Oryzias latipes: one gene and its partner. The protein of the gene in region 2 interacts with the protein of the main gene of each other region in a pairwise test. Links are inferred from orthologs where the notes say so. Each region holds a gene or a part of one and is shown on either strand. Other genes may lie near its edges. The genes, in order: parp11 and gtpbp3.

What was found.
Region 1: the proteins of gtpbp3 (region 2) and parp11 interact in binary tests that used the Homo sapiens proteins (3 or more experiments, as listed by UniProt). The two-hybrid records come from large-scale screens. The link is inferred for Oryzias latipes from reciprocal best matches to the Homo sapiens genes GTPBP3 and PARP11.

The regions. Positions count from the first base shown.
Region 1 is NC_019881.2:15,836,690-15,840,973, forward strand, and holds the start of parp11 (poly [ADP-ribose] polymerase 11), read left to right. Parts: upstream 1-1,191; 5' UTR 1,192-1,466; coding exon 1,467-1,509; intron 1,510-1,616; coding exon 1,617-1,741; intron 1,742-3,067; coding exon 3,068-3,188; intron 3,189-3,268; coding exon 3,269-3,344; intron 3,345-3,832; coding exon 3,833-3,905; intron 3,906-4,284. UniProt on the Homo sapiens protein: Mono-ADP-ribosyltransferase that mediates mono-ADP-ribosylation of target proteins. Plays a role in nuclear envelope stability and nuclear remodeling during spermiogenesis. Inhibits the type I interferon activated signaling pathway.
Region 2 is NC_019862.2:14,620,914-14,625,249, forward strand, and holds the start of gtpbp3 (tRNA modification GTPase GTPBP3, mitochondrial), read left to right. Parts: upstream 1-1,402; 5' UTR 1,403-1,681; coding exon 1,682-1,746; intron 1,747-1,961; coding exon 1,962-2,233; intron 2,234-2,563; coding exon 2,564-2,650; intron 2,651-3,209; coding exon 3,210-3,292; intron 3,293-3,787; coding exon 3,788-3,907; intron 3,908-4,336. UniProt on the Homo sapiens protein: GTPase component of the GTPBP3-MTO1 complex that catalyzes the 5-taurinomethyluridine (taum(5)U) modification at the 34th wobble position (U34) of mitochondrial tRNAs (mt-tRNAs), which plays a role in mt-tRNA decoding and mitochondrial translation.

The DNA of each region.
Region 1 (4,284 bases), on a different chromosome or scaffold from region 2:
TATATGCTGTGACATATTTTAGTTGTTCATTGTTCTAAATTGCACTTGGTGTCCCGGTTGTTTAACAACAGTTTTGCTATATACAGTTAAATAGCTTAAACAACTGAATAAATAAGTAAATTGTGTTGCAGGGGGGATTATGTGTGGTTCACTCTTTCCTCTCTCATGTCCTGTGCTAAGATTCTGACTGCCGCTGGGAAGAAGCTGTTGTGGAAGTGTGTCCTGTGTATGTGGATGCTTTTGGGCTGCTGTGTCTGAGGTTGTGGCCTGAGTCCCCACACTGGATCAGTGCGTAGGCATGGTGGTGTCTGTCCCTGAAGACAACAAAAAAGAGACCTAACACACATATTTTGGGACCACCAGATTAATAGAGATTGTTGGATCAAAGTTAAAGACCCACTCTGACAGTCATTTTTTTAAATAATTTTTAGCACGTTCACGTGGCATTTTTCTGATGATAGAAGGCGTGTATAATATAAAATTAGGCTTAAAAATGCATTTCTGAGTATTTATTCATGCAAATCATTGTGAATCAGGAGCAGACAAAAAATGCAGATGATGAAAGTATGTATTTGTGATGTAGTAATACGACGGGCCAGAAGCTCTAAGCAACAGGGAGGGAAAGGGGGGCGGGGTTGCTCTGCGCCAACGTTTCCGCCCACAGCTCAGAGGAAAATGTCTAATATGGTACTGCCGACCTGCAAAACTATTTCCTGGGAAATGGCACTTTTTTTTTTTTTTTTTGCCTACTAACAGTATTATTATAGTTAAAAGACCACTAGAGATGAGTGGGACTTTAAAACAAATGTATGTACCTTTTTAACTAATAGTTGAATAGACAATGGAAGTTAAGATCTGAATTCTTTATCATACTTTTACTGCTGAACTTATCGTTTTTCTGTCTGTGTATTGTTAAATTTATGTGCCATGTTGGCTTTTGGAATGTTCTAACACTCTCTCGTTTTAAGTGGATTACATTTTGTTTTTCCATAGATTCTCGATTTTATTTGTATCACCAAACTTGAAATATATAGTTAAAATCAAATGGTTGTTTTAGCCATCATTAATTGACTGAAAAACACGAATCTTAATGACTCCTCCTAACACTTTCCTTCATTGAAATTTGTGCCTGACAGAACCAGCTCAGGGCATTTACAAGCGGGCGATAGAGGAGGAGCCCACAAGTCAACGTCATGCTGTTGCGTCGCTAAGTAACAAAACCAGGAAGTGAAAGTAAACAACGGATTTGAGGAGGAAAATGATTCAGTCTTCAAAAGAATAGAATGAATGCGTGATTTGGCAGATTTTCTGGGCAGAGAGCACGGCCTTTTTTATATTTCTCTTGAAAAGACACAACAGCAGACTAATAGGATTGTATTTTAAGCTGAGTTGAAGCGACAGTTGCTAATGTGAGCTAGCTTGATACAGCGAATTCCTGTGTTGTTTTGATTTGTTTACAGGATGAAATGTCCCCGCGACTATGGTTTAAACACTGCTCATCAATGTTAGGTTTGTCTAATGTGTCAAACACAAGTCGGAGTCCCTCTCCTGTCATTTGTTTCAGTTACAGATTGCCTTGAAGCGCATTTGTATAATGTTATTTGTGTTCATTTCAGATTTAGCTATGTTAGCCATCAGGTCGTCAGAGGAGGAGTCCCCTGAGATTGAGGAGATGGACACCTCCGAATCCAACTGGTGCTGGTTCTACCTAGCCGAGTGTGGAGTATGGCATATGTTTGAGGTAGTTTACATCACGTCACCTTTTTGGATAAACTTGTCAAAAATATTCAATAACTTGTCAGAAAAAAATAATAAAAAGTTTGTATTTTGTTTTACCAAATTTTCTGAGATCCAAAAGCTTTGGGCAGCTATACTGTCTTTCAAAAACAAAGTATTTAAAGACTCACTCCAATAAAAGTTGTTTGTGTTTTTTTAAACATGTTCTTGTAGCATTTTTCTCATGATGGATGTCATGCATAAAGAAAATTAAGCTCAACATTTTATTTATGTGTATTCCTGTATTCAAATCGTTGTGACACAGGAGCAAGCAAAAAGCGCTGATGGAAAAAGCTTGTGTAGTGGTGACGTAGAAGCCACTATGGCAAGCCACAAGCTCCCTCCCATTCTGATTCATCATACATGTGCGTCTTTGTTTTCCTCATCTCAGCTGGCATCTGGCTCTAAATTGTACGGCTCCGATATTGCTCGCCATCTTTGTTGAACCGCTAATGTTAGGTTGCCGGTGTGATGGACTAGCAGGAGAGTATGTAAACTGATGGATGATGTGAAACGAGATGGGCCTACTCGCACCAACAGTTCCTCCCACAACTCAAAGGCAAATTTCTGAAGTACTGCCGCTCTGCAGAAACTTTGTCCTAAAAAGACAACACAGGTTTTTTGCTAAAAACACCATAATCATAATTAAAAGACCACTGGGAACGCGTTTACAATAGATCAAAAGATGATTGAAGTAGGACTTTAATAATTCTGTTCCTCTTCTTTTTTTTACCCATAGCTTAAAATACTTACAATTTCCTGTATGTGAATTTAAAAAATACTGTGCACTAAATTAGTTAATTGTTTGAAAAAAAAATCTCAACAGAAAAAAAAAACTCATTTTGGAGAACATATTTTAATACAAATGTAGGTTTGTTACCAAAAAGACATGTTTATATTTAAAAATCCTAATCTCCTTTAATGTAATTTTTTATTGTAAACAATAAATTGTAAATTTATTTTGAGGTTATTGATTTCTTACATCAATATCAAAAAAGTAAACAATTTAAAAAAAACGTTTTTTCACTTTCTTCCCCTATTTCATGTGACAATTTAAGTATCTGGTGGTTGCATTTTGAAATAATTTATTTAGGCAATCCATCTCAAATTTTTTTTTTGTTATTTTGAGACATTTAATGAGTATTTTCGTTTTTCCAGATGTAAAAAAATATATTGTGTGGTAAAGCTAAGACATTGGGGGTGGTGGAGTGGGCCTCTTGCAGCGTAGTGGCCCTGCAATGGCTGGCGTGAATGAAATACTATTATTTTCCTCTTTTCTTGTCTCTGTCAGATTGATCCAAGTGCAGCCTGTTCAGTGACGAGTGCTCAGATCGAACAGTGCTACAACAGGAACCAGCGTGGGATCATGGAATTTTACACCGCCAAGTACACGTACAGACTCGACTTCTCAGGTGAGAAAACATACAAGGAAATTATTTGCAAACTGTTATTTTTTTGTCGTTTTCTTATCTTTTATGCAATGGTTTTCCAGTTATGCGACAGATAAACGTGACAACAGGAAAGCAGAGGCCAATTAAACGCTCCCTCCATTCTGCAACTGGCTTCAGGTAACATTTGTTATTTTACTTTGAACAACTGCCTTTTTTTTGTATCTGGTTTTTGTTCTTGTCAAATGAGGAATTTGGTTCACAAAAGAATAAAAGCAGCTTTACAAATTGCATTTCCCTTTTCAATCTGCATTTAACAGAGGTGAGATTATTTTAATTTACTTTTTCCCAATCCCTTTTAATAAAATAATCCCACTCTGACAATCATTGTGTTTAATGGAATCAGTGTGCCATGTGGGTGTACTATATTTATATCTGCAAAATTGATATTTATGGTTAGTAGTGATTATAATCTAAAGAAAAAAAGCAGAATTTTTCGTTCCTTTTTTTATTTTCTAATCAATTTATGGATTAATATCTGAAATCCATTTCCTATATCAACAAATTTTTGTTCTTGTCGTGTTTTTTTACTTTGTTTTTATCGCTGAAGTTGCTTGAAATAAAATAAAACAAACAACAAATCCTTATTACGATGTCTTACAAATCAGGTTTATCTGCGATAACCTCGCCTTACCTGTTCCTTGTCACTGGGAGAGGATCAATACAGACGAGCCTTACCAGGTGAGCAGAAAGATAGCCACATTCAGGTACAGTTATCGCTCTTCTAACAGATTTTTAGTTTTGGTCTAGCTGATATTGAACCAAACACACTCTGTTACAGTTCTATTTATTACGTTTTAATGGTGCGCATATAATGTTGAATTTTTAGCTCAGTTTTGCAAAATGCAAATCAAGTAAACAAAAAGTAGCAAGAGAAGTGGTTGAGCAGGTCGAAGGATCTGTGGTTCGATCCCCGCTACAACTGTTGTTGTGTCCATGGGCAAGACACTTCACCCTCCCTGCCTCCAGTGTTACTCCACTGGTGTCTGAATGCATATGAATGTCCTGGTGATGGTCAGAGGGTCCATAGGCGCCAACTGGCAGCTAGCCTCTGTCAGTC
Region 2 (4,336 bases):
TCAACAGCTGCGAGGTGGCAGCTGTCACACTTTGTGCACACAGTGAGCCTGGTAAATTATTGAGATCTGAGGTTATAAACTGCTACCTGGATTCAGGCCAAACCTTTTCTGCATAAGTGCAGTCTCTTTTCTTAGCCATCTCTCCTGGATCCTTTGTTTCTGTGCAGCCCTCCCTCCTTACGTGATGCTCAACACAGGAGCATCCATGTGTGAGCAGAGATTGTGCTTACTCACCATCCTTTGGGTTGACAGGTGCAAGGCAACTTATAGGGCACACACATGAGTTCATGTGCAGTCTATGCCTTGTTTTTTATGTTTTGCAAATTGCATGTGCATTCTGTGAAAAGGAAAAAATAGTGGCCATAATGATTCTACCAGTTCCACTGCTCTAAACAAAGTACTTTACTAAAAATGTTTTAAATGTAAACAGTTGGATAATAACATAATGATGATGAAGTAGGTAAAGAAATAAAATAAATAAAATTTAAAAAAATCATTTCAATACAGGAAGACCCAAGCTATTGTTTAACATGTCCTTTGTTATTTGGGTTTTGTTGCAGAAATAAAAGTCCTGTATCATCTTTTTTGTTTTACCAAATTTACTGCCATTATTTAAATTTGTTTAAATTCTGTCGTGAATTTCAATATTATCAGCTAATATATATTTACACAGGGAAACCAGCAAAGATACAAAGCGATAAACGCGTGGTAATTGTACTCGTATCTGTATTTATTTATTTAACCTTTACTTTACCAGGAAGTCCGTTGAGATTACATTTCTATTTTGAGAGAGACCTGGCCAAGAGACCCCCCCTATGGAGTCCTATACTGTTCATAATTAAATAAATAAATATTTAATTCAATAAATAAATATGACGTCATGCAAATACACAGACTCCATACCCCCCCCACCCCCACACACACAAATAATATATAAAAGCTTAAAAGTAAAAAAAAAACAACAATAATAATAATAATACATTGTGCATTCAAAAAAGAAGTGTATTATTTAAAGTGAATTTCATTTTAAAAAAGTAAAGTTTTTAATTTAAGACATGTTATTCTTAATCATTAGTATTTGATAATGGTAAAAACGCTTTTTCTTTCTATTTTATTTAAAAAATAAAATTTAACCACAAGAGTTTAAATTAAAAAAGCAACTAAAGAGCAGCATAGTATCAGACGGACGAATAGGTTAGTGAAGGTAAGGGAAAACGAATGTATTGTTTGTGGGCTTTAAATTCAAAATTTAGCCTGCCGCATATGTTGGCCAGAAGGGGAACACTAAAGGGGTGGATATGTTTTGACGGAAGATGTTTCCCGATGCACAAATGGGCGAGGCTTAAATTTGATTGACGTGTGTTAAAACTAATAGAAAATGAAATGTGGAAAACGTCGACCAATCATTTCCCGGAGGCTGAACATGCGCTGATAGACAGCAGCGTGAGATTTGACAGAGTAGAAGTTGTGAATCTAACAGTGGAAAATGAATAACTGTTATATTAGTTTTGTTTGTCGACATTTCTCTGCTGTTATTGCATTTCCTGGCGACCTTGATTAGAGCTAACCGGGGCTAAAGATGTCTCTATTTGCAACAAAACACGTTATGGAATAAGAAGAAACAACGCGACGAAATGTTAATAAATACGTAACGTTACACTTAGTTAACTAATGTAAAATTATGTTACCGCTTCTATCTATTTTTCGGGAAATTCGTAGAGCTGCAGTCCACACACACAGGAAAAGGTTTGCTTTACATTTATACAGCGTTTTATTTACTGCTTTAAGTCTTTTTTTTAATGATAGAGTGGATTAGATGGGGTAAAGGCTCATAAGTCTCCCTATTTTTTAACATTCAAAATGTTTACTTTGTGTTGAATGTATATCAGCAAGTTATCAGTTAGAAAGTGTATTGAATGTAATTAAAAACTAGAATAACTAAGTACATCTATCCTTTCCAGTCGAGTAACTACTCTACATCAGCTTGTGTCCACCTTTAATGGAGTTCCAGCTGGCCTGGCAGATGCAGACACCATCTTTGCGTTGTCATCAGGTCATGGCAGATGTGGGGTGGCTGTGGTCCGTGTCAGTGGTTCTGCCTCATCCATGGCTTTGAGATGCATGGCGGGGCTGAAGTGCTGCTTGCCTTCTCCTCGGACAGCCCTGTTACGCAGCATAACAGACCCCAACTCCAAAGAGATCCTGGACCGTGGCCTGGTCCTATGGTTTCCTGGTGCAGTACCAACTAATTCAAATGTTTTCGTGTTTTCATTAATGCCTTTAAAATCCAGAAAATTTAAGGTTATGCTCTTGATTTGGTCTGATTAACATTATATCAACAACATACCATCAACTAAAACAACATGATGTTCTCAGTGGGAGAATTGTGGGGCACTAAAACCACCTTACTCATAAATACATATTGTTTATTACCATTTCAATTCTTTAAGATGTTTTTAACATGTTGATTTATCCATCCATAGTCCTGGTTTGCTCAAATCTTTTTATTTGCGAACTAATTTTTAGTATTTGGCTGAAAAGTGCAATTCTTTACATGTTTTAGGTCCTCATAGTTTCACAGGAGAAGACAGTGTTGAGTTCCACATCCATGGAGGTCCTGCTGTGATTACTGCTGTCCTACAGGCTTTGGGTAACAAAAACAATCAGTTTCAATAATACAATCTTTTTTTTTTTAAATTAGGTCTGTATTTAATGTTTTTTATTTTTATTTTATGGGATGCTAAATAAATGTGGTTTGTTCAGCATGACAATTCTTTGAATTGCATGAAACCCCTGCAGTCTCACTCTTGGCCGCTAGAGGACAGTGTTACACAAGTTAAGAGGAGGAATTAGGTGGAAGTTAAAGTGCTAAAAAGCTAAATCAATAGCTGTTTATTTATTTATTACAACATCACAGTATTTATAGTGTATTTTTAAATCAAAAGAGATTTAGTGCTTTTGATTAAAAATGTTGATCAAATATTAAAACCCCCTTTTCCAGACGAGTTGCACTTACCATTGTCTCTTGATGAAATCTGATATTTGGTTGAAAGCACTATGCATTTGCAATCTGGAGAACTAGCAGATGTGCCTGTTTGTGTTCTTAAGCTGAAGTGACATTGTGACCCTGTGTTTGATCGTCTGCGTTTCTGTGATCCAGGCTGCATGTCTCACCAGTTCATGTTTTTGTTTGTGTGCACGTTTTGCAGGAAGCATGCCTGGCATGAGGCCTGCCGAAGCTGGGGAGTTCACGCGAAGGGCTTTTCAAGCAGGAAAGCTGGGTTTAACTGAGGCGAGTGAAATCCATTAAAACGTCCCATGGTGCATCAGTGTGTTGTAAACCTTTAAAGGTTATGAAATCATGAAGGCATTTTTCATCTGAAGCCAAAACTGCAGAAAATAATCTTTCGATTTTCTGTGCTCGTCTTATTTCTGTCTTTAGGTTGATGCATTTGTTGCATTACGCCGGACAAATACTTAAATGTTTGCAGTAAATTGTAATTGACTTTAATCTGAGCTTTTATTTTTGAAAAGGTAAAAAAGATACGTGAAAATCCAAAATAGTTTAAAGTTTTTAAATACAGTAAATGTTAAAGCTTATATTCTGATGTTACAGATGCAACTTACAGTTTCCCCAAGCCATCAGGTGTCAGTCTGGCAATAACAAATTATGCATATAATTATGAATAAATTGTCACTTTAATGGCATCACTTTCAAAATGGTATTGCAAGAATTAAGCATGAGACCTGTGGAGATCAAATGTGATTTTTTTTTTTTCTTTCAAAGGTTGAAGGACTTGGGGATCTAATCCATGCAGAGACAGAGGCTCAGCGAAGACAAGCTCTTCGACAGATGTCTGGAGATCTGGAACGCCTCTATCAAGGCTGGAGCCACAGACTGAAACGAGTAGGTCTTCTGTTACCAGACACTGCCTTCATTCTGAAGGGTTTCTTTCTGAATGACAGTTGTAATGCTTTTTACTGGAGAATAATCCCAATGCAAGAGATCGCTTTGTTTTAAAATGAACCTGGTCTCAGATCCAGTAAATAGTTTGTCCTTTCTCCATTTTGGTTTTAAAAAAACAAAAACAAGGACACATCACTGCATGAAATCACAGTGGTGGGCAGGAATGACCTCCAGAGCTGAAGAAGTCTCCAAATAAAAACATTTCGTTGTTAGACCATCCTGACAGCAGAAACAATTCATACTGCAGCTTTCCCCTCAAGAGAGACTTTGGAAAGAACCTGTTTGTACTGAGCTGCAGGTCAGACCTCACCCCCACACAATGCTTTTGTTGCTTTGAAAAAATCTCTACAGCTGTTTCTAAAGAACTCT